Linked DNA regions of Mus musculus. The protein of the gene in region 1 interacts with the protein of each later gene in a biochemical or structural test. Links are inferred from orthologs where the notes say so. Each region holds a gene or a part of one and is shown in the gene's direction. Other genes may lie near its edges. The genes, in order: Esr1, Arnt, Ncoa7, Phb2, Hdac4, Ncoa6 and Ube3a.

Region 1 (2,988 bases):
CCATACACTACTCCCAAGTACTAGGATTACATATGTGCTCCATCACACACAGAGACATTCTTATCATTAAAAAAATCAATCCATGGAAGAGTTATGATTTCCTGCCTTCGCTGCCCACATGACAGAGAGGCAAGGAGGAACAAGGAACTAAGGAGAAAGCAGAAAAGCCATTTGCCTGCATCCTTCTCTCCCCACTTTCTTCCCTGTTTCCTCTTGTGGGCAGAATCTCCTGTTCTGGGCATTGGCAGAAGTTAGGGCCATGTGGAAGGAAACTCCTGAGTGACAGGGACTGAACCATTGTCATGGAGCAACAGAGGACTTTTGGTCACAAGAGGCATCCGAAGATTCCATGGAAATTCATCCTGGAAAAGACAACAGAATGTCAGATTCTCTAGATATCTACAGGTCTTTCTTCATTTCATTAAGGAGCAAATCAAAGACCAGTGACTGAGAGTCAGTGCAGGATGACATCCATGGTCCTCTGTGAGAAAGATGAAGGCATGTCTAGGCTTCAGAGAGCCTACATAGAAATTTTGATTTTTAACTTCTGAATATTATAGGAAGCCATTGAAAAACTCAGGCAAGGAGCCCAGCCCATAGAATGATGTCTTCAACATTAGGGTGGGTCTTCCAACCCTAATTAATGTAATCTAGAAACGGTCGTGTAGACATCCACAGATATCTAGAGCTTGTCAAGTTGACATTCAACATTGGTTACATCACAGAGAGGAAAATGCATGGAAAACCCACTAAACGAATTTGGTGGAAAAGTATGATTGTGGGGGTGGGGTATTCTTATAGGATGGAGGAAATGAAAATACGTGGACACAAGTCCCAGCCCCAGCCCCTTAAGGGGTCTCTGAAGCCCCTAAGATTCTACAGCTGTCATCTTTAAATGAATTCTTAATAGGTTTAAAAAATGACTCCCAAGTGCCTTTGGAGTTGCTCATCCTCCCTCCTCCTAAGAATTTCAGCCGTCCTGGGGGTTCAGCCATGATCTAACATAGTTCTCTGTGTTCCTTCTCCTCCAGTAACAAAGGCATGGAGCATCTCTACAACATGAAATGCAAGAACGTTGTGCCCCTCTATGACCTGCTCCTGGAGATGTTGGATGCCCACCGCCTTCATGCCCCAGCCAGTCGCATGGGAGTGCCCCCAGAGGAGCCCAGCCAGACCCAGCTGGCCACCACCAGCTCCACTTCAGCACATTCCTTACAAACCTACTACATACCCCCGGAAGCAGAGGGCTTCCCCAACACGATCTGAGAGCTCCCAGGCTCCCCGAAAGGTTCTGAGAATCCCTGCAACATTTTACCCATGTCATGTATGACTAGCAGAATTCTGTCTCCTGCGTACACTGTGGCATGCATCCACCACCAGTGGCTTTCTAGTATGAGTGGCCATTTATTTGCTTGCTCAGTTCTTAGTGGCATGTCTTCTGTTGGGAACAGGCAAAAGGGATTCCAGGGCTAAATCTTGGTAACAGCTCTCTTTCTCCCTTTGCTACGTCACTAACTATGAGGATTCCTATAGTCTTCAGTCTTCATGAATGAATTGAGATAACTGCATTGAAGCTACTTGTTGAGACCCAAGCCTAGAGAGTAAACATTTCACCTCTGATAAGCACTTCATAATGGCTCCAAGAGGAAGCCTCAGCAAAGACTTCAAAGTGGCTCCTTTAATTGAAGTCGTTGACAAAGCGATCTCATGGCTTCCTAATAGCACCCGCTTGCATTCCTATAGCAACATGTGACTTTATTAAAGGGAAATCTTGAGCCCCTATAGGAATATGTGATGCACACAGAAAAGGAAGATGCCCCCAGTTGTCAAGACCATGTCAACTCAATACAGTCAACCTTTTCACTTCTTAAAGTGTCAGCTGCCGAGTATTATATACATGGTGGGTTCTAGACAATTCTTGCTTCCCATGACTTGTGGGAAACAGAAAGTCTATTTCAGTTAATACCCTGGAATGAATTAGTCTCCTTCATGAGGGCTGTAGGGTGTGTTGATTTTAATTTGATTTCATTTTATAATAGTCTTCTGCCCCTGGGGCTTGCAGTAAAGGCAGCTTGAGGACCTGTTCTGGTAAACTGGACATTCTTCAGCACAGGATGCTAGCCTTGTCTCTTCCCTGATGTCAATTGCCCTAAATTGTTACCATGTAGATTGATCAAGGGCAGTCACAATGAACCTGCAAGCTGGTGACAATTTTTTGGTTTGTTTAGTTTTATTCTTGGGGGCAGGGAACAAGTAATGTATGGGCAATGACTGTGACTCGGAGGAGTCTAAGAAGGAAAGTAAGGGAGAAATGTGGAGAATGACCTGGCCAGGGCAGCAGCTTCCCAGAGGTGCACCTCACAGATCCCACCATGCACAGTGAGGCTGCTCTGGGATCCATGGGCTGACTTCACTTACATTTCAGGTATGAGCCTGATTGGAAGAGGTGACATCAGATACCTGTGTTCCTGTAGATGCTCCAGGAACTTGGGGAAAGGCATGGGGGCAAGATCTTGGAGCACTCATGACTCAAGCTGTTGAGAAGTTGCTCAGACTAGACTGTGCTTGATTATTCTGAACTCATCCAAAAACCAGCTAGTGAGATCTTGGGGAGAAAAATTTCTTCCTCAACACAGTTCATGATCTTAAATTTTGTAAACTAGAAATGATGAATGACCAGAATTGGGTCATGAGAGTCCTTTGAACAAGGGGATAAAAAGGAAGACTTACTCTATCCACAGCCACCCAAGACCTCTGGGGTCTTGGTCTCTCTAGTACAACTAAGGATTACTTCCTTTTCCAAACCAAAATGAAAGTTCAGTTTCCATCCCGGACTTCATGATCTATAATTTGAACTCCATTGAGATATGATGGGTTAGCCAAAACCTAGGTGAATGGCTAGGCTTCTCTTGGCCTGTACTTTTTGGAATGGTGGGTTCCATTAATTTCTGCTCTCCCAGTTAACTGACTATCAAAGATGTGGAAACT
Region 2 (4,091 bases), on another chromosome or scaffold:
TGAGATAGTGTCTTTCTATATATAGCTCCTGCTGTCTTAGAACTCACTATGTAGACCAGGCTGGCATTGAACTCAGAGAAATTGGCCAGTCTCTGCCTCCTGAGTACTAGGATTAAAGGCATGCATCACTATGCCTGGATCTGTTTGTAGTTCTTTTTTTTTTTTAAATATATATTTTTAAGATTTATTTATTTATTTTATGTATATGAGTACACTGTAGCTGTACAGATGGCTGTGAGCCTTCATGTGGTTATTGGGTATTGACTTTAGGACCTCTGCTTGCTCCAATCAACCTCGCCCACTCCAGTTGGTCGGCTCACTCAGTTCCTGCTTTCTCTGGCCCAAAGATTTATTTATTATTCTAAATAAGTACACTGTAATTGTCTTCAAACACACCAGACGAGGGCGTTAGATCTCATTAGGGGTGGTTGTGGGCCACCATGTGGTTGCTGGGATTTGAACGCAGGACCTCTGAAAGAGCAGTCAGTGCTCTTACCCGCTGAGCCATCTCTCCAGCCCCTGCTTGTAGTTCTTGATTTGTAAAATTATAGAATTTATCTCACAGTGTTTTGAGTCGACATTGTCTGTTCTGAATTGCTCAGTTCTTATAATTAGACATTACGTCTGTGTGTTTACTACCTTGTCATTTTAAAAAAACTTGTGACATAGGACACCTCACTTTTGGAGGGCAGAGAAAGGGACTAGTTTCATTTTGTAGTACAGACTGGTCTTTGCATTCTGAGTTCTGGAATACTTGTTTAATAAAAATTCTTTGTTCGTTGTCTCCATTTCAAATGTTGGCATCTTTGGTACCACGTAATCACCCAGCTTTTTCCTACCAGCTTCAGAGCCAACTCTTAAGAATTAGTTATCGGACTTTTACTAGTGACAAAAGTTCATAAAGAAAAAACAACCTAGAATGGATTAGTGATCCCTGTGTTAGAACCTATAAAGAGGGTTTGCATAACAAATCGTCTGTAGGAAGCATATGCTGATGAGCCCACTAAGAAAGAAAACATTTTAGTAAAATGCTCGTTTTCTTTGCATTTCACTGACGTCAATTTGGTTATGAATCTCTGACGCCGAGAAGGCCGGATTAGGGAAACAGCTGGTTGGCTTCCTAGCTCAGGCTTCCTAGCACTCCTCGGGTCACCGGACTCACTGGCCGAGTCACTAGCCCGGCCTCTATGGCGACTTACTGTTTCTATTGGCCAGTTCTCCCAGGGAGGCTGTCTGGAGACTGACCGCGCCCATAGTTTGGGGCGTGTCTTCTGCCCAGGATGGGGAGGGGGGTGGGCGTCCGCCATCTTGGATTCCGCGGTAGCGGTGGCGGCGGTAAGGTGCCTAATCTGCGGAGTGGCTCTTCCCTCCCCTCCCCCAGCTCGGTGGCGGCTGCCCCTCCCACCGAGGGTGGCGCAGGGACGGTGCCATCTCGACCATGGCGGCGACTACAGCTAACCCAGGTGAGGCGGCAGAAAGGACTGACAAGTGCGGAGAGCCAGAGCAGAGCAGCAGGGCCGTGGCGTTCGGGTGTTGGGGGAGGGGTGTCGAGGAGGCGCCCTGCCCGGAGGACCTGGGGAACGGGTGACGGGTGTTTGGGGGCTCCGTGCCCCAACTTCTGGAGTAGTGGTGGCGCTTGGCCAGCGTCTCCACTCTGCCTGCGGTGTTAGGGAGTGTTGTGGTCTTTTAACCCTCTGCCAGCTGATGTTCCCCTGATGCCTAGTAAGTAACTGGGCAAACTGACTTGGTGTAACTGCGAGCGTAAACTGGGCTATAGACGGGGCCACGTTGACGTTTTGCAAAGTCTTGCTTGATTCTACACTTGGTTTACATTTAAATGGAAAACTTAGTTCTTTGAGAATCTGCTCAGATTCTTGTAACTCCTATACTTTGAAATTTAGGGTTTTAGCGTAGTTATTAGTGTCTTGCTGCTGAAGGCAGAGGTTTGGGTAATGGTAATAGTTCAGGACAGGTCTTTAGTCCAGAACCCAGGTTTAAATCTTGTTAGGTCGAGGTGGAGCAACTCCTGTTCTTTCAGAAAAATGTCCCGCGCCATTTGTCTGTGGACGTCCTCTTGCTTGTTTGTCTGTCTGTCTCTGTCTCTCGTTCATCTTATTTTGAGTCTTGTCTCATTCCAGCCCCCGGTTGACTTTGGATCACTGCAGTCTCCCTCTCAGTCCTTTCTACTGTATTCAGTTACATCTTAGGAAGTATTTCATTTTAGTTGGGCTAATTTACCTTGTTATTTTCCAACAAAGTAAATCCATCATTTCCCAGAAGTCTGTATCATCGAAGAGTTTGGAGGGAGGGTTGTGTAATATTGGTCTCTGCTATTTCACATTGAACTTTTAAATTTTATCTTGTTAATGTACTATATTACAGTAACAGGGTACACACACGTATGTATATACATACACACAATAGCTGAAACACTGGGAAATGTATTGTTTTCCCATTATTTTTGGAAACAGCCTTTTTTTTTAAGAGAGAGAGAGAGAGAGAGAGAGAGAGAGTCCTAGAACTTATATGTAGCCCAGGTTGGCTTCAAATTCATGTGTCAATATCAACTTTAAAAAAAATATTTTTAAGCTTTAGAAATTATGTATATGATAATGTCTACTTGTGAGTGCAGGAATGGGAGGAGTCCAGAATAGGGTGTTGGATCCCCTGCAGCAAGAGTTTCAGGCAGTTGAAAGCCCCGTGATGTGGATGCTAGGAACTGACATTAGGTCCTAGAAGAGTAACACATACTCACAACTACTGAACCTTCCTTTCAGCCCCTGAATATCAGTTTTTTAAATCCTAAATTATTATTTTTTTTACATGAAGATGAAGTAAATTGTCAGGAAACTATTGGAATATTTGATGAATTATAGAATAAAACTATACAACTGAAAAATGTTAGAGAAAATCAGACCTTGTAGCAAAATAGCCCATGTCTGATTAGAGTAAACAAGATTTCAAACTGATCCCATGTTGCAAAATCCTTATATAACTCTTCAGACTGCAAAGTGTCTCTCTTGTTAAGGCCGTAGAGACACGTTAGTAAGTCAGAAGCTTTTCTAGCTGCCCTGTTCTGATTTTAAACCAATTACTAAAACAACACTTTCTTGACCAAATAGTCATTTCCTTATCAATATTAGCTTAAGTCTGTAAGCAGGAAATAGTAATTTTTTTCTATTTTTTTTTCTGAGTGGGGAATTTTGAGAGGCTGGCCTGCAGTGTTCTGTGAAGATCAGGCTGGCCTTGAACTTGCAGTGGTCTTCTTGCTTCTATCTTCAAGTGCTGGAATCACTCGCATGTGCCATCCTATATAAACTATCAAAACTTTTTAAAAAGTACGATTTAAGAATCTTTTTTAATGAAACAGTTGTTTGTTTGTTTGTTTGTTTGTTTTGACTTTGGTTTTTCAAGGCAGGGCTTCTATATGTATCCCTGGCTGTCATGAAACTCACTCTGTAGACCAGGATGGCCTCCAACTCAAGATCTGCTTGCTCCTGCCTCCTGAGTGCTGGATTAAAGCTGTGAGTGTCATCACCAGTAGAAATAATTGATTTTATTTATTGTTATTTGATTGCTTGCTTCTTCAATTTTGAGGTGGGCAGAGTCATCATAGGTACTTACCAAACAGAGGGAGAATAGGCTGGAATTCCTTTAATCTTTGCAGAAGCAGGGGGATATCTTAGTTCATGGCCATCTTGGTCTACAAAGTCAGTTCCATGCTACATAGTGAGACCTTGTTTCAAAATCAAAAGCCAGACCAAACCAAGCAAAAACCTCAAAAGGTGAGGTGTAGGTTCTTAGCAAACCTTTGAAAATTAACCTGAGAATGTAAGAGTTTTCTTAAATTCTAGTCTGCTGTTAGTTATGGCATAGCACCCAGTGGTTCCTGCTGTAGCTGACATCCCTGCGTAGCCTCAGCCTCTTATGAGATGGGATGGTAGGTCTGAGCGGAGAACAGAGAACGACAGACCCAGTGAGACTAACCCCCTGCTCTCTTTACCATCTGCCTTAACTTCCTTTTCCGGGGGCTACATTCCTAGCTCAAGATTTCTTTTTTCCATGTGGAGAATTCTTCCATGTCTTCTAAT
Region 3 (3,500 bases), about 26 Mb from region 1:
TTTTATCAGTGACACTGGAAACCAACAATCAGGCTCTGAGTGAGCAAGGTATCTCCTGGGTGGCATCCTGGCCAAAGGAAACACTCTCTAGATTTCCTTTTTCTTTCTCAGCTAGGCAAAACAGGTCCAAATGTGAGTGTTCAGTCCTTTAGTTTGAACCACAGGCAGTTAGTTAACGCACTTCTTAGTGACTGATTAGTGGTTAAAATGGCCTTTTGTATTTTCTCTGGATTGGCAGCTGGCCCGACGACTTCCAGCCAGGGTACAAGGCTATCCATGGAGACTGGCCTACAGCACATTAGAGCATGGAACGAGCTTGAAGACTCTCTACAGGAAATCAGCATCTCTAGATAGTCCTGTTCTTTTGGTCATCAAAGACATGGATAACCAGGTGAGGCCTGTTCCTCTCACAGAGAACATGTATCTTGTTTTTGGAGAGATATGATTTCAATCTAGTTCAGGCTATATAATCTAAGGTATTTTGAATTCCTGATCTTTCTACATCCACTTTCTGAGTGCTAGAATTATTAGTGTGTATCATCATAAATGGTTATATAGACGCTAGGGATGAAGTCCAGGGTCACATGCATGCAGACAAACTCTGCCAACTGAACTGTATCTCCACCTGAAAAGGTGTTTTGGTGGCAGATTTTTAGAATACCCACAGTAGAGAGACTGCTATATCGACTCCCATTCTCAGACTAAATGGATTTGGACATTCTTGTTTTATGTCTTTTTCTTCTTGTTTTTGTTTGTGGGTGTATTTTGAAATCCTAATATAAAGAAAATGGAACAATTGTATGCTGAGAAATTTTCTCCCTGTGCTGACCATAAGATAGAAAATAGTAACCTAAAGCAGTTTAAAAGTAGAAGTTAGGGACAATCATGTGTACAGTTGCAAAGACAATCTCAGTGACATACCAGAGTTTTATCCTAAGGGTCTTAAGTAGTAGCCATTGATGATGCCTACTGGGTAGGGGATAGTCAACTTCTGTTTATTGGGTCTGGGGTTCAATGGTTCAGTAGCCATGGGAAATCCTTTTCTCATGGTACTCTTACCTGTGTGGTGACTGCCCTTTCTATGAGCTGTTTGAGTTATTACGTAGTACCCCATCTATTCTACACTGTTATCACCTCCTTCAAATCAACTTACATTGTGCATGGATTATGTGCAAACCACTTTCATTTCCTGTTTAATCAAGCCGTTACATACCAAAGTCATTAATAAATCAGTTAGTTTAGTCATGTTATGTCTAATCAACACCCATTATGTACAGGACATCTCAGCTTGGATAATTCTCATCCAAGCTTCTTGGGATAAAAGTGTTTTGAAATATGGATTTGGGGGAGTCATGGAAGATTTGTATATGTATAAGGGTATATCTTGGAGATCGCTCTCTCCCCCCACCTCTCATACACACACACACACACACACACACACACACACACACAGAGGGAGTTTTCATAATTTTACTCATGAAACAGGTTTTCGGTGCAGATTTTTCTACTTCTGGCATTGTGTTGGCATTCAGAAAGTTTGGGACTTGGAGGGGTTTTCTGATTGGGGTTGCTCAACCTGTGATGCTCAAGTGAGGAGCTTGCTGTGAAGTACAACTCTCTATCCTGCCAATTTACCTCCCTGAGTGAGGCACATCTAATCCCTGTACTTGGAAGGCAGAAGAGCTGAATCTCTGTGGGCTCAACATTAGCCTGGTCTAAAAAGTGAGTTCCAAGACTGCCAGGACAACACAGTGAGACTCTTGTCCCCAAAAAGATTATGGCCCTGGTGAAGTTATGGAAGGCACAGTCTTTATGACTTTATTGCCATAAGAATTACTGAAAGTAGAATAACTGTTACTATTTTTATTATTATTACATCAGGATTGATAAGATCTTATTTAATAATGATCCAAGATGAGTAGTGTGAACAATTAAGATGAAAATCAAAATAATACCACAAAGTGTTTAAAGTCACATAGAAAGTTATGAAATGTTAGAATCATTGGTGCTATGTCTTGAATACAATTGTGACTAGATAACACTTCAGTTACAAAAATATATATAGTTTCTGTCTGTTTAGCAGTCGTATCCAACTTGTCCACACTGAGAAGGTACCAATGAGGCACAGTTTTGCTAAACTTCCTGTCAACAGTGATGTAACAGAGGTCTGAGGCTAACACATGTCGTCAGGCAGTAGAGCAAAGGTTCTCAACTTTCCTGGTGCTGTAACTCTTTAATACAGTTCCTCATGTTGTGGTGACGCCCAACCATAAAATGATTTTGCTGCTACTTCATAACTGTAATTTAACTACTCTTTCGAATCATAATATAAATATCTGATATGCAACCCCATGGGGGTCATTGACCCACAAGTTGAGAACTACTGGAGTAGAGTTTTAACATATCATGCACCCTGCAGATGCTATTGTGAATATTTGGACATTAGCTTGGCACATTCCAGCCTCTCCATCCTGAGGAAATAAGGTGTCTTTTCTGTTTATGGGAATATGACAGACATTAATATAATAATATAATATAAAATAATAGAAATTAATATTACACATGCAGAAGGAAAATGAGGAGTTGTAGAGAGTTGTGGGAATCATAAAAGCAACAATCCTTTACAGTCTCTGGAAATTGTCCTGAAGGCATGCAGCAAATGAAGAAATATTTATTCAAGAAAATCTAATAAGTCTCAGTAATAACAATGAAATTCTTTGCACTTGAGACACAACCCTATTCCCACCACTCCAACAATCCCAGTTCAAACCCATAGTTTTACTCTGGACTTGTGTGGTCCAGGAGATGGGGGTCCCCTCTTCTCACAGCTGCTAGTTTCCTGTCCCTTCTAACAGGCCCAGCACTTCTTATACGCCTCCCAAGTTCATTGTTTCAGAGATGAAAATTCAGACAAGTATGGCTAGAGGCAGATGTCTTTCCTCTACCCAGCCCACATACTCGCATCTCAGACATGATGGTTGTGAATGCCAGATACCTCATTGTTCTCCTTCTAGCACTAGATAAATACATGCACATTGTTTGAGACAAGCTAGGGCCAGACCAGCACTCTGCTACTTAAAGCAAAGTTGTTTTTTCTGAGAAAAGCAGGCAGATGTATAGCTCAGAGTCCAGGTCATTGTCTTAGGGACTTGTTCCAGAGGAAGAGATTGGCCATAGGACATGAAGTGCTGACCCCCTTCCCACAGAGCTGGGGGTGTCTTTCAGTGAGTTCAGAAGTAGAAAGCCAACGATATCCCTGAAGCGATTACATTTGGCTGTAGACAGTTGAGAAGAGTTAAGTTCACCGTGAGAACATGCTTCCCTAGCTGAGGAATATTATTTAGAACCCTGTAGAGGGCTAGAGACGGCATTTCCTATCGGTTTATCTGAAAGGAACTCATTTCCCACCTGTTAAAGGATTCTGTTATTCTCATGTCATATTGTAAAATCATGCTTTAAAAAACCTAGGTGCCACCCTATTGTATTCCAGCTCCATTATT
Region 4 (3,994 bases), on another chromosome or scaffold:
CATTGAACAAGTTTAGCTCTGAAAGGCAAGACATACAAAAGAAGGAAGGAGCCGGGCGGTGGTGGCGCACGCCTTTAATCCCAGCACTCGGGAGGCAGAGGCAGGCAGATTTCTGAGTTTGAGGCCATCGTGGTCTAAAGTGAGTTCCAGGACAGCCAGGGCTATACAGAGTAACCCTGTCTCAAAAAAACAAAAAGAAAAAAAGAAAGAAAGAAGGAAGGAAGGAGGGGGCTGGAGAGATGGCACAAACTTTCTTGTATAAGACTCAAGTTAGGTTCCTAGCACCTTCATGAGGTGGCTCATGGCCACATGCAGACTTGCATGCATAAATAAAGGTAAAGTAAATATTTAAGGGGGAGGGTAAAAAAGCAAAGACAAAGGCTTTTTAAATAATCTGATCCAGACATACTTCAGAATAGGTAAATACAGAACAAGCTGCCAGTCAAGCCCCATTTAACAAAATAAAGCATCAAGTCCTTGGTAGTAAAAGGCTGGGGAAGTCACTGGCCTTTGGAAACGTGGGAACCCTCAATAGACAATGCTTCCCTCATTTTGCATTATACATCACAGACTCCGTGATAAGTCAACTAAAAGCAAGGCGAGGGCTGAAATGAAAGTCCAGAGCAAAAGGACTACCCCCAGGATATCAACAGCCTGGAAAACTAGGTCATTCTTCCAGAGCAAATTTCAAGGCTCCGCTTTTCCATGCACTCTGCGGCCCTGGTTCCCACACAATCTGATCCATCAATTCCCTACCTCCGCACTCACTGTTCAAAACTACCTTGACTGTCTCCAGACTGGCCCCTTCCAGCACCACAATGAGCCTCCGGCCTCCGCACTTGCTTCCTGCCCCAAGCCGGAGCTTCTTAGGCGGCGTAGTCTCCCAGTCCTGCTCCTGCACTGAAAATCGCCGCTCACGAGGTTGGAAGCCACCACTGGCCGCAGACATCTTGTAGGCAGACCGGAAGTTGCACCGAAGTCCTTAAGTTAGAACTTCACGTCCGTCCTCACGGCCAACTTCCTTCGAGCTGCCATTTTGAAAGAGGGCGCTCGAAAATGGCGATGCCCGTACGGAAGCCTCTCCGGGAGGGCACACCATTCCCCCCCACCAAGAGGCGGGACTTCCGGATGCGCCATTCCTGTGCGCGGAGTTCAGGGCCGCCCGGGCGGAGGGGGGCGGGTCCGGAGGGAGGCGCACTTCCGGTGCCCTTTCTCCCGCGAGCTCTAAGGCCGCCGATCCTCGTGTGCAAGGCGAGGTCTGTAAGCTGGAGCGGGGCAGAGGCTGGCGGGCACCCCCTCCTGACCGCTGGTGCCGCCGCCGCCGCCTTCGGGAGGATCAGACATGGCCCAGAACTTGAAGGACTTAGCTGGACGCCTGCCCGCCGGGCCTCGGGGCATGGGCACGGCGCTGAAGCTGCTGCTGGGGGCCGGGGCGGTGGCCTACGGCGTCCGCGAATCCGTGTTCACCGGTGAGCAGCCTCCTTCCGCTGGCCGGACGTTGCGGTCCCCAGACCCACGGTCCTGCTATCCCCCAGGTGTCCCCGTCCCACCTACGCTGACCAGCACTCGGGCCAGTAGCCTGCCCTGACTCCCACCCCTCTCTCCGCAGTGGAAGGCGGTCATAGAGCCATCTTTTTTAATCGTATTGGTGGCGTGCAGCAGGACACGATCCTGGCCGAAGGCCTTCACTTCAGGTAATGGCGGGCAGAGCGAACAGGCCCTGACCCTTCACCCTTGACGGCTGCAGCCAGACTTAACAATTCGGAGCTGCTTTACCCCTTCCTCACGCCTGCTCTTGAGGACAGTGGCTGCCTGAAACTCCAGCAATGCATAAAGGGCTGTTCTCGACTGGGAAGAGTCCTTGTGGTCGTGGGGAGGAACAGGCCCAAGGACGAGTGGTGAGGGGAACCATCAAAATCAATAAAACTGCAGTTTCCCAACTCCTGTCCATGACCTCTCCTCTCCAGGATCCCCTGGTTCCAGTACCCCATCATCTATGACATTCGGGCCAGACCTCGAAAAATCTCCTCCCCCACAGGCTCCAAAGGTAAACGTGGGCAACTGGGAGCCTCAGGGCACGTGGGGAAACAAATGTAAAATGAGCCTGGCCAGGCTGCCAGAATTGGTTGTGTTTCTGAGGTCTTGGTTTCTACGTCTGCAAAAGAGCCATGCCTCACGGTTCAAAAAACGGTGCATTCCAGTACTTGGCATGCATGCACGTTTTAACGTTACCTTCTGCCTAGCATAAAAGGGATAAGAGTTGCCTTTCTTCCTGGCTGCCTAGGTCCAAGTCTGTTTTTAAGGCCTTTTTTTTTTTCTGTTGATTTGTTGATTACATCCACAGTACACCTTGCTCTGGAGAAAGTGCCCCCACTCTTCACTAGCTGTTGCCCTGTAGACCATAGTTAGAAGGCCTGCCTTTGAGATTCCCCAAGCCTGGGCCTCATTCCCATGTACACACCGAGGCAAGTAGCCCACAGAAGTGTGCTTCTCTGTTGCTGTTTGTGGTGTGTGTGGTTTATGCGTTTGCTAAGCCATAGGCCTTGGAAATAAAACACAGTTCTGGTTCTCAAGGCCCTAATGGCAAGGGGGAAACCCAAGATTATGCTGCTTGGTGGAATCCACTTTGGAGGAGGAGTAGCAATTTATTAAAAAAAAAAAAAAATAGCTGTACTGGTGGAAGGTCCATAGAAAAGATTCCACAGTAAACAAGGGTCTGCCTCGCCCATCCATGTTGTTCACATGCTCTGTGTTGACATGACTATCTTCCTGCTGGAGTGCTAGGCTGTACAGTAACACTAGGCATGGTGGGAAGCACTCCTAGGAGAAAGCGCTGGAAAAGGGGGAATTTGGCCTTACCCGGCGGCCACTGCTGACCTCTTCCCTCAGACCTGCAGATGGTGAACATCTCCCTGCGTGTGCTGTCCCGACCCAATGCCCAGGAGCTCCCCAGCATGTACCAGCGTCTAGGGCTGGACTATGAGGAGCGAGTGCTGCCGTCCATTGTTAATGAGGTGCTCAAGAGTGTGGTGGCCAAGTTCAATGCCTCGCAGCTGATCACCCAGCGGGCTCAGGTCTGACTCCTATCACTGTCTGCACGGCGGCAGCCTGTGTCTCTCCTTGGTCAGGGTTACTGGGTACTGAAAGAAGGTATTTCGGGATGGGGTGGGACGGATCTGTAGTTCAGTTGATATGTACTTGCCTAACATGCACAAGCCCTGGTTTTATTCTCAAGCATTGCTTAAACCAGGTGTGGCACATGCCTGTAATCCTAGCACTCGAGGTAGAGGCAAGGGGATCAGGGGTTTAAGGTTATCCTTAGCTGCATGGACTGTGGGAAAGCTGTGCTGTGACTGTGGGAAATGAGGAGAAAAACGGTAGAACCTGACACCAGTCGACCCTAAGAAGGAAGCATAGTACAGAAAGTGGCAGTATTGCCTTACATCTCCACAGAAGGTCTTCCTCCGTTAACTGGAAACTAAAGAGATGCATAAACTGAAAAGAAGAGATTAGGTCTCAGTGTGATGTGGGGCAGTCTGGTGATGCCACGGCTGTCACAGGAAGAAATGGAACCAAGTTTTTTCTAGTGAATGTTTGAGGACTTAAGTGGTGGGTTTGCTGCCCATATTCAGGAGCTCCGGTGTTCAGATGGTTACAGCAATGCCACCACCTTCCTTCCAGTTCTCTGATCCCCTCAAACCAAGCCTCCCTTCCCCTCCCGACCCATGCCCCCAGGTGTCCCTGTTGATCCGAAGAGAGCTGACAGAGCGCGCCAAGGACTTCAGCCTCATCCTGGATGATGTAGCTATCACAGAGCTGAGCTTCAGCCGAGAGTACACAGCTGCTGTAGAAGCCAAGCAAGTGGGTAAGTCCATGGAGGCAGGCACTGGTCGGGGGGCTTCTGGAGGTGGGAGGAGGGGGGCTACATGTTCTTGGGCTTCTTACACCTCACACTTAATCCACAGCCCAGCAGGAAGCCCAGCGGGCCCAGTTT
Region 5 (4,113 bases), on another chromosome or scaffold:
TTCATCTAAATGTTAGCAGGCTGCAGATCCTGCATTATTTTGTATGTAAATTTGGTAGTGTACTTTTCTATAAGCAGCTGCACTAGCACTCCTAAGTGCGGTCATTTTCTTCTGCTCTTTTCTATTCCACAATTCATCCCTTGGCTTCACAGCTGAGCTATCCTAGAGTATGAATTTCTCCCAGTGAATGAAGCTTTCTAACTCAGTATTACCTTGAGATAATGAAAAGAATCTATTGCTTCTTGCGAATTGTTTTACCTTCAATTTTCCCCCAGTCATGGAACAAAAATGCTATTAAATCTCTACTCAACTCCTATCAGGCAAGGCCTAGTAAATAGGTCAGCATCCTAGGTCAGGCCATGTAGGGTGGACCAGATGCTCTTGTCTTCGTTTTGGATGTGGGATTCTGGAAATATCATGGACACAGGATGAGAAATTGCACTACTCTCCTGATGAAAGGAAATGGACCCAAGGGAGCCAGAAGGATGGCCTTTCACGCCCATCCACATTCGTGAACGCCAATTATAGGCGCTTGGCCCAGGTCTAGAAGAACCTCAGAGAAGGGGTGGTCCCAACAAACCGGGACGCCGTGGCGGCGAACCAAGAATACACCTCCGCAACAGCAGCGGTCCCAGAACCCCCAGTTCCCACGGCCACGCAAGGCCCCACAGTCACAGCCGCACCCCCAAGCGGCGCGCCTGCCCCGGGGCAGGGCGGGGCCCGCCGCGCCTGCGCACTCCCTCTGGGCTCGGCGTCCCCCGCACGCAGCCCACGTGATCTGTGCCTTGCCTAAGATGGAGGTTGCCGCCAGGCCCGGCCGGGCCCTCGCCTTAGTCTGTGCTCTTCCGCGCCCCCTTAGAGCATGAGACAGGCGCTCAGGCACACTGTATTGACCCGGGCAGCGCCGCGGGCTGCCAAGGAGGTCTGTCCACGGCTTCAATCAGTTCGCGCACCAGCTCCCTGCTCTTTCTAAAACAGCAAAAGCTCTCAGAGCGGGCGCCTGGAGAGTCTTCGGTACGCCCCGCTCATTAGAATTGACAATGCTGGGAGCCAATGGGGTTTGGAACTTTTGAGAAGGGCGGACGAAGGCGGAGCCCCTTCGCAGCGCCCGCGAAGCGGGGCTGGCTGTTGGGCTATTGTGGGGCGGACTTAGGACTCTCGGACCAATGGAAGGGCGGCTGAATTCTTGGAGGCGGGGCCGAGCCGTAATTGACGCTTTCTTCATTAGAAACCAGGCAGGGGGCGGCGCCCACGGGGGGAGGTGACGCAAAGCCGTTGTAGCCAATGGCTGGTGGGCCGCCGACGGGAGGGGCGGGGCTGGGGCGCCTGACGGGCGTAGGGCGCGGCCTATCCCCGCGCGGCTCTGCGCTCGAGGGGGAGCAGCATCATGGTTCAACGTGGGTCAATTTTTTGTGAATGAGGAGGGGAGGTTGTGGGGCCGCTGCCGCGGAGCACCATCCCCGCCGCCGCCCGAGCCCGAGCCCGCGCGCCTGCTCGCGCCGCCGCCGCCGCGCCGCCTCACGCCCGGCCCGCTCAACGCGGCTGCTGTCGCCGTCGCCGCCCGAGCCCGCCCGCCCGCCGGCGGCGGCGCAGGCTGAGGAGATGCGGCTCGGAGCGCCGGAGCAGGGCTAGACGCGGCCCGCCGCCGCCGCGGTAAGCCACCGGCCGTCATTGTCCGCGCCGCCCGGTTGCTGGCGGCAGGTGGACGCCCGGCCCCGCCGAGGCCTCGGGGCCCTGCGCCGCGGGCTGGCGGGCGGGAGAGCGGCCTGCGCCGGCGGGCGGGCAGGTGGGCGCGCGGGGGCGGGGGCCGGGGCGTTTATGTAACTTTGTCAGCCTGTGAGTTTGCAGAAAACGCCCCTCGGCGGCGGCGGGCGGCGGGGCGGGGGCCGCGGCCGGGCCCGGACCGTCGCTGGGCTGGCGAGGAGCTGCGCTAGCCCCGGAGACGACCGGTGTCCACCCTGAGCGAGGGTTCCGAAGGCACAGCTTGTAGCTCACACAGCGGGAGTCGGTCGGAAAGGCCGGGTGTGGAACCCGTGTTCTCCTTTAATGCACACCGAGAATTTGTTAATAACTTGCAGCCGCTGATAGCAGTGTTTTGGTTATTGCATGCTGTAAATTGACCTGCTGTGACACGATTTTCAAATAAAGCGTCGCAGAAATTAAACTTAAGTTATTTTAGAACTAATGACTTTCTTAACTAAATCCTAATTGCATTACTGTAGAGACCTACCTAATTGCTTTCCGAGAGCCACTCTGCCTGCCCGGGGAGGAAGGAAAGGCCTGTGTAGTCACTTTGCCTCCCTGCTTTTCTCTGCTCAGGCTTTTCTGTCTGTTCCCACAAACCACCTAAGCATTTAAGGCCTGCGAGTATTAACGTGTAAACAGCCATGGCCCTGTCGCACTTTGGGGCTAGGGGGATGCTGGCGGCTTGCACCTTGACCTGGTTTCGGTTTTTCCTCCGTGATATGATCGAGGTTGCCAGGAGTTTTAATTGCTTCTGATAATTCCGTGCATTATTTCAGGACCGGCTTGATGAAAGCTAGTGTAGTGGTTTCAAAATCCACCCAGAAAGAAGGTGATGGTGGTGGTGGTGGTGTAGGTAGGTGTAGTGCTTGTGGAGAGGCAAGGAGGTTGAATTAAGAAAACTCAGCTGCTTGTACACAAATATACACTATAGCAGTTACAAGGCAGCAAAAGTTATTGCAGAATTTTGCAGTCACTATGGCAACACAATTACTCCATTATAATTGGAAATGCAAAATGCCACCCAGTTAGAAGTTTCATCAGGATGGAGTTTTGGATATCAAAAAATATGTGAGATTTAGTTAAAAATTCTCATTTTTTTCCCCCAGGTAGCTTTGCAGCTCTAGTCTAGGTTCAATTGTCTATTTTTAAGACCCATCCGCTTTCCCAGATCTGCCACTCCTCGGGATCTGTGGCATCTTTCCCCAGAAGAACTCCCCGTTTGTGTGGGAGGGAAGTATTTTCATGCTTTAAAAACACACACCCGACACACTGTAAGACTTCTATGGTTTTCTGTGTTCTGGCTTTTCTTTTAAAGATCAAATGCCTTCCTGAAGAGCAGTAATCACCCAGAAGAGGCTGGGTTTGCTAGAAGGCAGAGGTAACACTGCCCCCTTTAGGGGTCTGCAGGCTGCTTACAGGGTATCTGGGAGCCCTGTGGGGGAGAAGAATGACTGTGAACTGCAGACGGGGCCTGGATAGCCTAGAGACCAAGGACAGATGTGACCTAAGCAGCCCTAGCAAGAATGTCTGTGGTTAGCAACATCAGAGAGCTGTGCAACATATAAAGCCCCCAGATGGCACCTTCTCAGAAGCTAGGGGCTGCTGCTGGTGAGGTGGGCAAGAGAACATAGCACTCTATCTTCCTGGGGCTCCTGGCTCCTAGCTTGACTTTGCTTTCAAACCTGTGTTAGGAGGATGTCCCTCTTGATGTTTACCAGAAGAGCTCTGGTGCTGGAAGTTTCCACACGTCGTGGGGCTGCTGCAGCTTAATTTCGTTAGAACTCTTTCCTTTTAACTACTGCATATTTTTGCCCAGTAATCGACTTCCATTTTCCAGCCTCATTGTGAGGTTTCAATGCAGCATGAACGGCTTTGAATTCCAATCCTTTGATGTTGGGGGTGGCACCAAAGGAAAGGCGACTTTGTGCCGTCCTAATTGCCAGAGCAGAAGAAAATTTCATCACTCCTGTCAAGCCTTGTCCATGCCATTTTCTATTGAAAACGGCTGGTTTTTCAGAACTCTGAAGCTGCCATAAGTAATACATTAATACCTGATGTAGGGAGCCAGGGAGATGCAGAAATGAGAGACACCTGCTGCACGGGAAGATTGGGGTGGCGTGGGGGGGCTCAGTCCCAGGACCAGGGCTTTTGATGTCTCTGGGCCCTGGGGTGACTATGCAGGCTTCAGAGGGTGAATCCAGAGTTGAGCTCATGTCCCATTGGTTGTAACCCAGTCTTGGGGTAGGGGCCCCAAAGAGATTTTTGGAGTGGCTTTGTCTTGGTCTCCAGTGACCATCCAGTGTCCTGCTGCTCAGCCAACTCTGGGCCTTAAGTGTGACACTGACCTTTGAGGTGCAGGTGACGGAG
Region 6 (3,941 bases), on another chromosome or scaffold:
TTTTAATTAAAACTACAAGATGGAGCTGGGCGTGGTGGTGCACGCCTTTAATCCCAGCACTCAGGAGGCAGAGGCAGGCGGATTTCTGAGTTTGAGGCCAGCCTGGTCTACAGAGTGAGCTCCAGGACAGCCAGAGCTATGCAGAGACACCTTGTCTCAAAAAAAACAAACAAACAGGGACTGGTGAGATGGCTCAGTGGTTAAGAGCACCGACTACTCTTCCAAAGGTTCCAAGTTCAAATCCCAGCAACCACATGGTGGCTCACAACCATCCGTAACGAAATCTGATGCCCTCTTCTGGAGTGTCTGAAGACAGCTATAGTGTACTTACATATAATAAATAAATGAATCTTTAAAAAAAATAAAACGCCTGACAGTAAAGCGACTCTTCTCACAGACCTGCTTTCCTCTCAGTGCAGGTCGGGCCCTCCTTAACAAACAAACTACAAGATATTGTGAATAAATAAGGAAAATATTTATACTTTATGGATTTTAAAAATAAGTTTGAAATTATGTTAGAAGATGTGAGTTTTGTATTAATGTGAATAGAAAATATTCTGTGGGGCTGGACAGATGCTCAGATGTTAAGAGCGCTGGCTGAACTTCCAGAAGACCTGGATTGCCTCTCAGCACTGATACGGTGGCTCACAACCATCTGTAACTCCAGTTCCAAGACATTCGACACCCTCTTCTGGCCTCCATAGGTACTAAACACACATGTGATACACATATATACATATAAGCAAAATACCCATGTCCACAAAAAAATCTTTTAAGACTTGTAAAAAGAAAAATATTTGTCTCCAAATATCTATAGGTAGTTTCCTTGTTTAATTTGGCAAGGTTAAGAGTAAAAGTCTGGAGGGTGCAAGAAAGCCAGAATTCCCAGTTCTGTGGCTCTTACATGAAGCTACTTGGGGTTCCTGAGTTTTGCTTCTTCATTCTACATGTGGGATAAGTTTTCTAGTGAAAACTGATTTAACAATCTCTAGAGTTTATGTATTTATGTATGTATTTATTTATTGTTCGTATTTTTAATCTTATTTCTTTATAATACTGTTTCTCTTCCTCCCCTCTCCTCCCCTCCCCCCCCCCTCTCTCCCTCTCCTCTTCTCTCTCTCTCTCTCTCTCTCTAAAAGAATTCTGATTGGTTGCTACTTTGACCTATAAGCCCTAAAGATGCCACCTTGCTTGGACTTAGAGGATGATCTGGATAAATGATAATTAAGACATTTTGGTAAGTGAAAGTTTATGTAAGAAATTCTTTTTTTTTTTAAGTCTACCTTTTTGGTTTTTCTTTTATTTTAAATTTGTTTTATATGTACTGTGTATATTTTGCATTCTTGTATGTCTGTATAACACATTCATGAAATTTCCAAGGAGGCCAGAAAAGGGTGGGTGACAAATGCCCTGGAACTGAGGTTACAAACAGTTGAAAACCTCCATGTAAGTTCTAGGAATTGAACCTGGGTTCCTAATTTCTTTCCCAGCATATTATCAGTACATAGAGAACCTAGCAATTTACTTTTATTTGCATGTGTGTTTATTGGTGCCTGTGGAGTCTAGAAGAGGATATTAGATCCCCTATAGCTGGAGTTCTAGGCAAGGTTGTGAGCCACCTGACATGGGAACTGAGCTTCAGTCCTCTCAAAGAGCACTTCACTGATGAACCATTTTACTAGCCCTGCTACTGGGTTTTCTAGGTTAATTTTATATCCCTGATATTTTCTTGAAAGTATTTACTACCTAACTCTTAATAGTTACCTTGAGACGTTCTTAGTATGTTTTAAGTAAGTGATCACATCTGTAAGTAGGAATGATTTGACTTCTGCCTTGCTTGTTTCTATGCTTTTTATTTACTACAGGCACTAGCTGGGCTGATATAATAGCACATACTTTTATTTTATTTTATATTTTGCATACACCTTTAATTCCAGCACTCCAGAGGCAGAGGCAGAGGCAGGTGGATCTCTATGATGAGTTTGAGGCCAGCAAAGTCGACAAAATGAGTTCCAAGACAGCAGAACTACACAGAGAAATCCTGTCTCAAAACAAGCAAACATACAACAAAGAGTTCAAGCACTATAATCAGTATGACCAGGGGTGAAGTGGGGCTGGAGAGTTGCTTAGGGGTTAGGATACTTGTTATTTTTGCAGAGAAGCCAAGTTCACTTCTTAGCACCCACACAAAACTATTGGATCCTCTAAGAGCAACATGTTCTCATAACTGCTGAGCCGTCTCTCCAGCCTCCACATCTTATTTCTATTGTATGTGCATATCTTGTAGGTGCATATGCCACCATGAGGTACAGAGGTTAGCAAACAGCACACAGAGGTGGTTGGTTCTCTCTGTCCTCACAAGGCGTGGCTACAAGTGCCTTTACACACTAACCCATCTCACCAGCCCTCATTGTATGGTGATCATTTTTATTTTTTTTTTAATTTTTTTTTTTTAGGTTATATCCTTTTGGTTTAATTTTGGTAATTCATGTATTGAGAAACATACCAGTTCCTTCTAGTTTTAACAACTTACTGGAAGTTTTCAAAAATTCCTTAGAGATCCTCTTTGAATCTCACTGCTTTAATATCTCCTTTTTAGTCTATGTATTATGTATATAATATATATTATGTATGTATACTTATCTTTTTTGAGGCCAAGCCTCTTTGTATCCCAAACTGGCCTTAAACTCCCTTTTAGCCAGATATGATCTTGGGTTTCTGAGATCCTCCTGCTTCCATCTTCCATGTGCTGGAATTATAGGTATGTATCGCTATGCCTGATTTGTGTGATGGTGGGGATCAAATCCAGGGCTTTGTGCATGTTAGGCAAGCTCTATAGCAACTGAGCTGCATCTTCAGCCTCCTCATTTTCTTAATTCATGTCTATTTATTTTGGTCAATTTGGTTATCTTATCAAAGAACTCTTTGTTTCGTTAATCTTTTATATTTTTCTTTTAATCCATTTTATTAACACCTATCCTAACATTTATTTTATCTTCCCCTTTTTTTTTGAAGAAAATGTTTAAACATCTGTTTATTTACTGTTGTGTGAGTGGGCTTGGTGTGTGTTTAAGTCAGATGACAACTTGTAGTTTAATTCTCTCCTGCCGTCATATGGATCTTGAGGGTCAAACTCATCGGCAAGCTTAGGAGCGGTCCTAGTCACCTGCTAAGTCAGCTCACCCGTCTGTGTCATGGCTTTCCAGCTACTAATTTTGGTTTGGTTTACTCTTGTTTAACTTTAATGACATATATCATTAAGTTATTTTTCTTTCTGTCCTACTTTGAAATGGTTGCTAAATACCTACAGTTTTTAGGCAGTTTCAAAACTCAGTCTTTCTCTTGCTAAGTAAGCAGCAGCTTTTTAGCCTTAAAATTTTTTTGTTAGTTTTATTTATTTACTTTTAATATTATTAGAAATTCTTAAATGTAGCTGGAGAAGTATAGTTATTTTATAAAGGATTTTTCTGGGTGCTGTTGTTTGAGACAAGAGCTTACTTCTGCAGCCTGGGGTGAGCTCAACTTATGATCTTCCAAAGCGCTGGGGTTGCAGGTGAGCACTGCTAACACTCAGATCTATTGATTTTCCTGTGTCACTTTGTATATTTCTCCCAATAGTCTAGTCTTAACAAAAAAAAAAGTAGCAAATAATATTATGAAAGGAAATTTTATCTGGTAAATAAATTACATCTTTTATAGAGGTATGGATAACATATTAAATAAAAATGATATGCTGACTATATAATGATAGTTTATAATACTCTGCATCCTCTCTTTTTCTGAAGGTTTACTTACTGTTCACTTTGCATATACTTCTGGAATAATACACCATGGTTTTGGATGACCTTCCAAACTTTGAAGACATCTATACTTCCTTGTGTTCATCTACAATGGGCGACTCAGAGGTGGAGTTTGACTCTGGACTAGAAGATGATGACACG
Region 7 (3,500 bases), on another chromosome or scaffold:
ACAGATCCTGAGGAAATACATCTTAGGTGGAAGGAGACATGTGAATATACATACATGAAGACATACAAATTAGTTAAAGTAGACCAATATAGAGATTCTTTACAGAATAAATTCATAGGCCCTTAGACCCCTAAAGATGAAGATATACAGGACATAATTGCAACTATTCCCCCCACCCCACCCCCAACAGCATTTTGGCTATATCCTTTACTAAGAAATGCATAGCTTCTTAAACACAGTACATACTCTTGTGTGTTGAAATAAATCTTGCCAAAAACTGTAAGTCAGTTTGCTTTTTTTCTTTTCAGAAACAAAATTCATTGTTTTCTTTCCATATTGTTTTGTTATTGCTGCTTCTTATTTTCTTCTACTTATATCTTACATTTTTCCTCTTCTCAACTGTCCTCTTTTTTATATTTTCAATCAACAGCTAGAGATGATTGCTATGGAAAATCCTGCAGACTTGAAGAAGCAGTTGTATGTGGAATTTGAAGGAGAACAAGGAGTAGATGAGGGAGGCGTTTCCAAAGAGTTTTTTCAGTTGGTTGTGGAGGAAATTTTTAATCCAGATATTGGTAAGTATTAGTGATATGATTATGATGGTGTGTTAGTCTTTTAAAGTATAAACTTGGTTTATAAATATTTTCAGTTATGGTAAGCAGTAAAAAAATTGAGTATGCCATATCCCTGCTTCAGGAGCTGTTCTATCACTCACTTAATTTAGGTTCTTCCATATATTACTTAGTCAAATATTCTAGTAGAACACAGTTGCCTTCTAGGGAAATTTAATTTGAAAAACCTTAGAGTGGTAGATTTGAAAACCTGAAGTCATGAGAATCATAGGTTATATAATTTATCCTCTGGTTAATTTATAGCTTAATTGTCCTTGAGACCAAGAGCATCCATTGGTGACATTCTATCAGATTTATTATTTGTGAACTGGAACTTTTGATATTACCTGGATGTATAACCTGGCATGCAAATGATACAGACATACATAACTCACATTTTTCAAGCTGGAATGCAAGTATGAATTGAATACTTGTGAAACCAGTATTCCACAAATATTAAATTGCAAGAAAAAGCTTAGACTTAATTTATATTACTACAGTTCAAGGAGAAAAGTGTACTTTTCTTTTTAATTAAAACTGAAAGTGAAAATAAGGAAACATTTTAAATATTAAAATTAACCTGAAAGTACATTTTAATGCTTTATTATTTGTTTTTTAATACTCTTGTTCCATTAGAAAAACATTTCCCAAAACTTTTTGATTTGCTCATTTTGATTTTGGCTTTTTTAGACAATCTTTTTATATTGTATTAGTACTCTAACCTTAAGCTCATAATTTTCCTTACTCATTTTACCAAGTGCTAAGGTATACAGCCCACTCTCTCCCCCAGCTTGTTAGACTTTGTATAAAAAGTATTTCCTGAGAAGCAACTGAAAATAAACTTAGAAAAATTGAAAGGCATATACAATTAGTTTTGTTTTATTTTATTGTTTGATGTTCCGTAAAAAAAGAAAAAAAAGACTATCTCTTAATGTTCACCTAGATAAAATAATGATGATAGGAAAAAAAATCTCTGGACTTTGGCTTTGAATAATGAAGATCATGTGAAGCTGAAAGATCACAAAATATTTTTTAAAATTATATTAGCTTAGATTTGATATGAATTTTAAGTAACTTAAAGTTAATCAACTTTCTCCAATTGTTTTTTTTTTTTTTACTTAATCATGCATTTGTTTCATATGTAATTTTCAGTCATTAAGTGGATAAAATGACTTTTAATTATTTCTTTATAGGTATGTTCACATATGATGAAGCTACGAAATTATTTTGGTTTAATCCATCTTCTTTTGAAACTGAGGGTCAGTTTACTCTGATTGGCATAGTCCTGGGTCTGGCTATTTACAATAATTGTATACTGGATGTCCATTTTCCCATGGTTGTATACAGGAAGCTAATGGGGAAAAAAGGAACCTTTCGTGACTTGGGAGACTCTCACCCAGTAAGTTGTCCTTCGTTAATAGTCTTTAAGATTGTATCTAAATACAGAAGTTTATCTCAGTTTATATAGGAACATTATTTATTTGTAAACTTTTGTTGATACTGCTGTTTAGTAAAGTAAAATACTTTTAATCTGGTTAAGTATAATAAACATCATTTTTTATATATCCTATCAAGTATGTTTTGATTGACCCCATAAAAAATGTTGAAAACATCATGTTTTCAATGTCCCATATGAGTCTATGTAGTAAAGTTGTTGATAGGTACAGTTGATATGTGTGTGGCTTTTTTGTTGTTTGTTTTCCTGTTTGTTTGTTTGTTTGTTTGTTTGTTTTTCCTCATTTCCTGTACCCTGCCACAATCATGGAGAGAAAGTGTATATTCTAGACCATGGTATGAAATCTGTTGCTGAACTGATCATTTGAAGAATTTTTAAGATTGACCCATTGCCTGTGACAACCTTTCTATCTTATTAAACTACTTGAGAGATGTGGAATATTTATGGCTTCATTTTTGTTGACAAGTTGTTTCTACAAAGAATGAACAATCTATTATTTTTATTTCTTTTAGTATTTATTTGGCAACCTCACTTCTCTTTCTGGTTGTTAGGTTTTATATCAGAGTTTAAAGGATTTATTGGAATATGAAGGGAGTGTGGAAGATGATATGATGATCACTTTCCAGATATCACAGACAGATCTTTTTGGTAACCCAATGATGTATGATCTAAAAGAAAATGGTGATAAAATTCCAATTACAAATGAAAACAGGAAGGTAATTAAATTTTTGTCATTGTTTTATAAATATATAATTTCAAAGCAGTAAAGTTTTCAAAGAATTACCTAGTATGGTTTGAAGCAGTTATAAAAACTTTACATAAACAAATTTATCTAAATAGTAAAGCTACACTTTCCTCTTAGATAAGAGCTTATGTGATTGTACAGAATTGTTAATTCCCCTTTAGAGAAAGACTAAACAGACTACAAAAGATTGAATGGGTAAATATTACTATAATGTAACGCTAGAAACAGGGCCTTACCATATTAAACCTAAGAGGTATACAGAGCCCAGTGATTGACATCTGGTTTAGTGTGTATATACATTTTCCATTTGAGATCTAATTATGCATATCAGATTATTCACATTAGATTTGGTTTTTACTAACTTTAAAAGCTATTTACTTGGCAATAGGAAATAACTTAGCTTAAAAAGAAAATATTACATAGTATAATTTTAAGAAATATATTAATTTATACTTATTTTTGGTGAAATATTGTACTGTCATGAGATCTAATTATGCATATCAGATTATTCACATTAGATTTGGTTTTTACTAACTTTAAAAGCTATTTACTTGGCAATAGGAAATAACTTAGCTTCAAAAGAAAATATTACATAGTATAATTTTAAGATATATTAATTTATACTATTATTTTTGGTGAAATATTGTACTGTCATGATACAAACTACATTTGTACTATAACAAATTTT

The links.
Region 2: the proteins of Esr1 (region 1) and Arnt form a complex in vitro, tested with the Homo sapiens proteins (2 studies listed by BioGRID). The link is inferred for Mus musculus from reciprocal best matches to the Homo sapiens genes ESR1 and ARNT.
Region 3: the proteins of Esr1 (region 1) and Ncoa7 form a complex in vitro, tested with the Homo sapiens proteins (2 studies listed by BioGRID). The link is inferred for Mus musculus from reciprocal best matches to the Homo sapiens genes ESR1 and NCOA7.
Region 4: the proteins of Esr1 (region 1) and Phb2 form a complex in vitro, tested with the Homo sapiens proteins (3 studies listed by BioGRID). The link is inferred for Mus musculus from reciprocal best matches to the Homo sapiens genes ESR1 and PHB2.
Region 5: the proteins of Esr1 (region 1) and Hdac4 form a complex in vitro, tested with the Homo sapiens proteins (2 studies listed by BioGRID). The link is inferred for Mus musculus from reciprocal best matches to the Homo sapiens genes ESR1 and HDAC4.
Region 6: the proteins of Esr1 (region 1) and Ncoa6 form a complex in vitro, tested with the Homo sapiens proteins (4 studies listed by BioGRID). The link is inferred for Mus musculus from reciprocal best matches to the Homo sapiens genes ESR1 and NCOA6.
Region 7: the proteins of Esr1 (region 1) and Ube3a form a complex in vitro, tested with the Homo sapiens proteins (2 studies listed by BioGRID, with this or other methods). The link is inferred for Mus musculus from reciprocal best matches to the Homo sapiens genes ESR1 and UBE3A.

Annotation. Positions count from the first base shown.
Region 1 is NC_000076.6:5,000,158-5,003,145, forward strand, and holds part of Esr1 (estrogen receptor), read left to right. Parts: intron 1-1,031; coding exon 1,032-1,266; 3' UTR 1,267-2,988.
Region 2 is NC_000069.6:95,433,099-95,437,189, forward strand, and holds the start of Arnt (aryl hydrocarbon receptor nuclear translocator), read left to right. Parts: upstream 1-1,291; 5' UTR 1,292-1,438; coding exon 1,439-1,463; intron 1,464-4,091. UniProt on the Homo sapiens protein: Required for activity of the AHR. Upon ligand binding, AHR translocates into the nucleus, where it heterodimerizes with ARNT and induces transcription by binding to xenobiotic response elements (XRE).
Region 3 is NC_000076.6:30,649,827-30,653,326, reverse strand, and holds part of Ncoa7 (nuclear receptor coactivator 7), read left to right. Parts: intron 1-238; coding exon 239-391; intron 392-3,500. UniProt on the Homo sapiens protein: Enhances the transcriptional activities of several nuclear receptors. Involved in the coactivation of different nuclear receptors, such as ESR1, THRB, PPARG and RARA.
Region 4 is NC_000072.6:124,711,095-124,715,088, forward strand, and holds the start of Phb2 (prohibitin-2), read left to right. Parts: upstream 1-1,194; 5' UTR 1,195-1,342; coding exon 1,343-1,469; intron 1,470-1,609; coding exon 1,610-1,694; intron 1,695-1,967; coding exon 1,968-2,047; intron 2,048-2,889; coding exon 2,890-3,074; intron 3,075-3,735; coding exon 3,736-3,865; intron 3,866-3,965; coding exon 3,966-3,994. Other genes in the region: Emg1 (ribosomal RNA small subunit methyltransferase NEP1), read right to left, coding at 782-949.
Region 5 is NC_000067.6:92,177,542-92,181,654, reverse strand, and holds the start of Hdac4 (histone deacetylase 4), read left to right. Parts: upstream 1-1,313; 5' UTR 1,314-1,397; exon of another isoform or gene 1,398-1,653; intron 1,654-4,113. UniProt on the Homo sapiens protein: Responsible for the deacetylation of lysine residues on the N-terminal part of the core histones (H2A, H2B, H3 and H4).
Region 6 is NC_000068.7:155,437,984-155,441,924, reverse strand, and holds the start of Ncoa6 (nuclear receptor coactivator 6), read left to right. Parts: upstream 1-1,141; 5' UTR 1,142-1,237; intron 1,238-3,785; 5' UTR 3,786-3,830; coding exon 3,831-3,941. UniProt on the Homo sapiens protein: Nuclear receptor coactivator that directly binds nuclear receptors and stimulates the transcriptional activities in a hormone-dependent fashion. Coactivates expression in an agonist- and AF2-dependent manner.
Region 7 is NC_000073.6:59,284,250-59,287,749, forward strand, and holds part of Ube3a (ubiquitin-protein ligase E3A), read left to right. Parts: intron 1-430; coding exon 431-575; intron 576-1,804; coding exon 1,805-2,010; intron 2,011-2,618; coding exon 2,619-2,783; intron 2,784-3,500. UniProt on the Homo sapiens protein: E3 ubiquitin-protein ligase which accepts ubiquitin from an E2 ubiquitin-conjugating enzyme in the form of a thioester and transfers it to its substrates.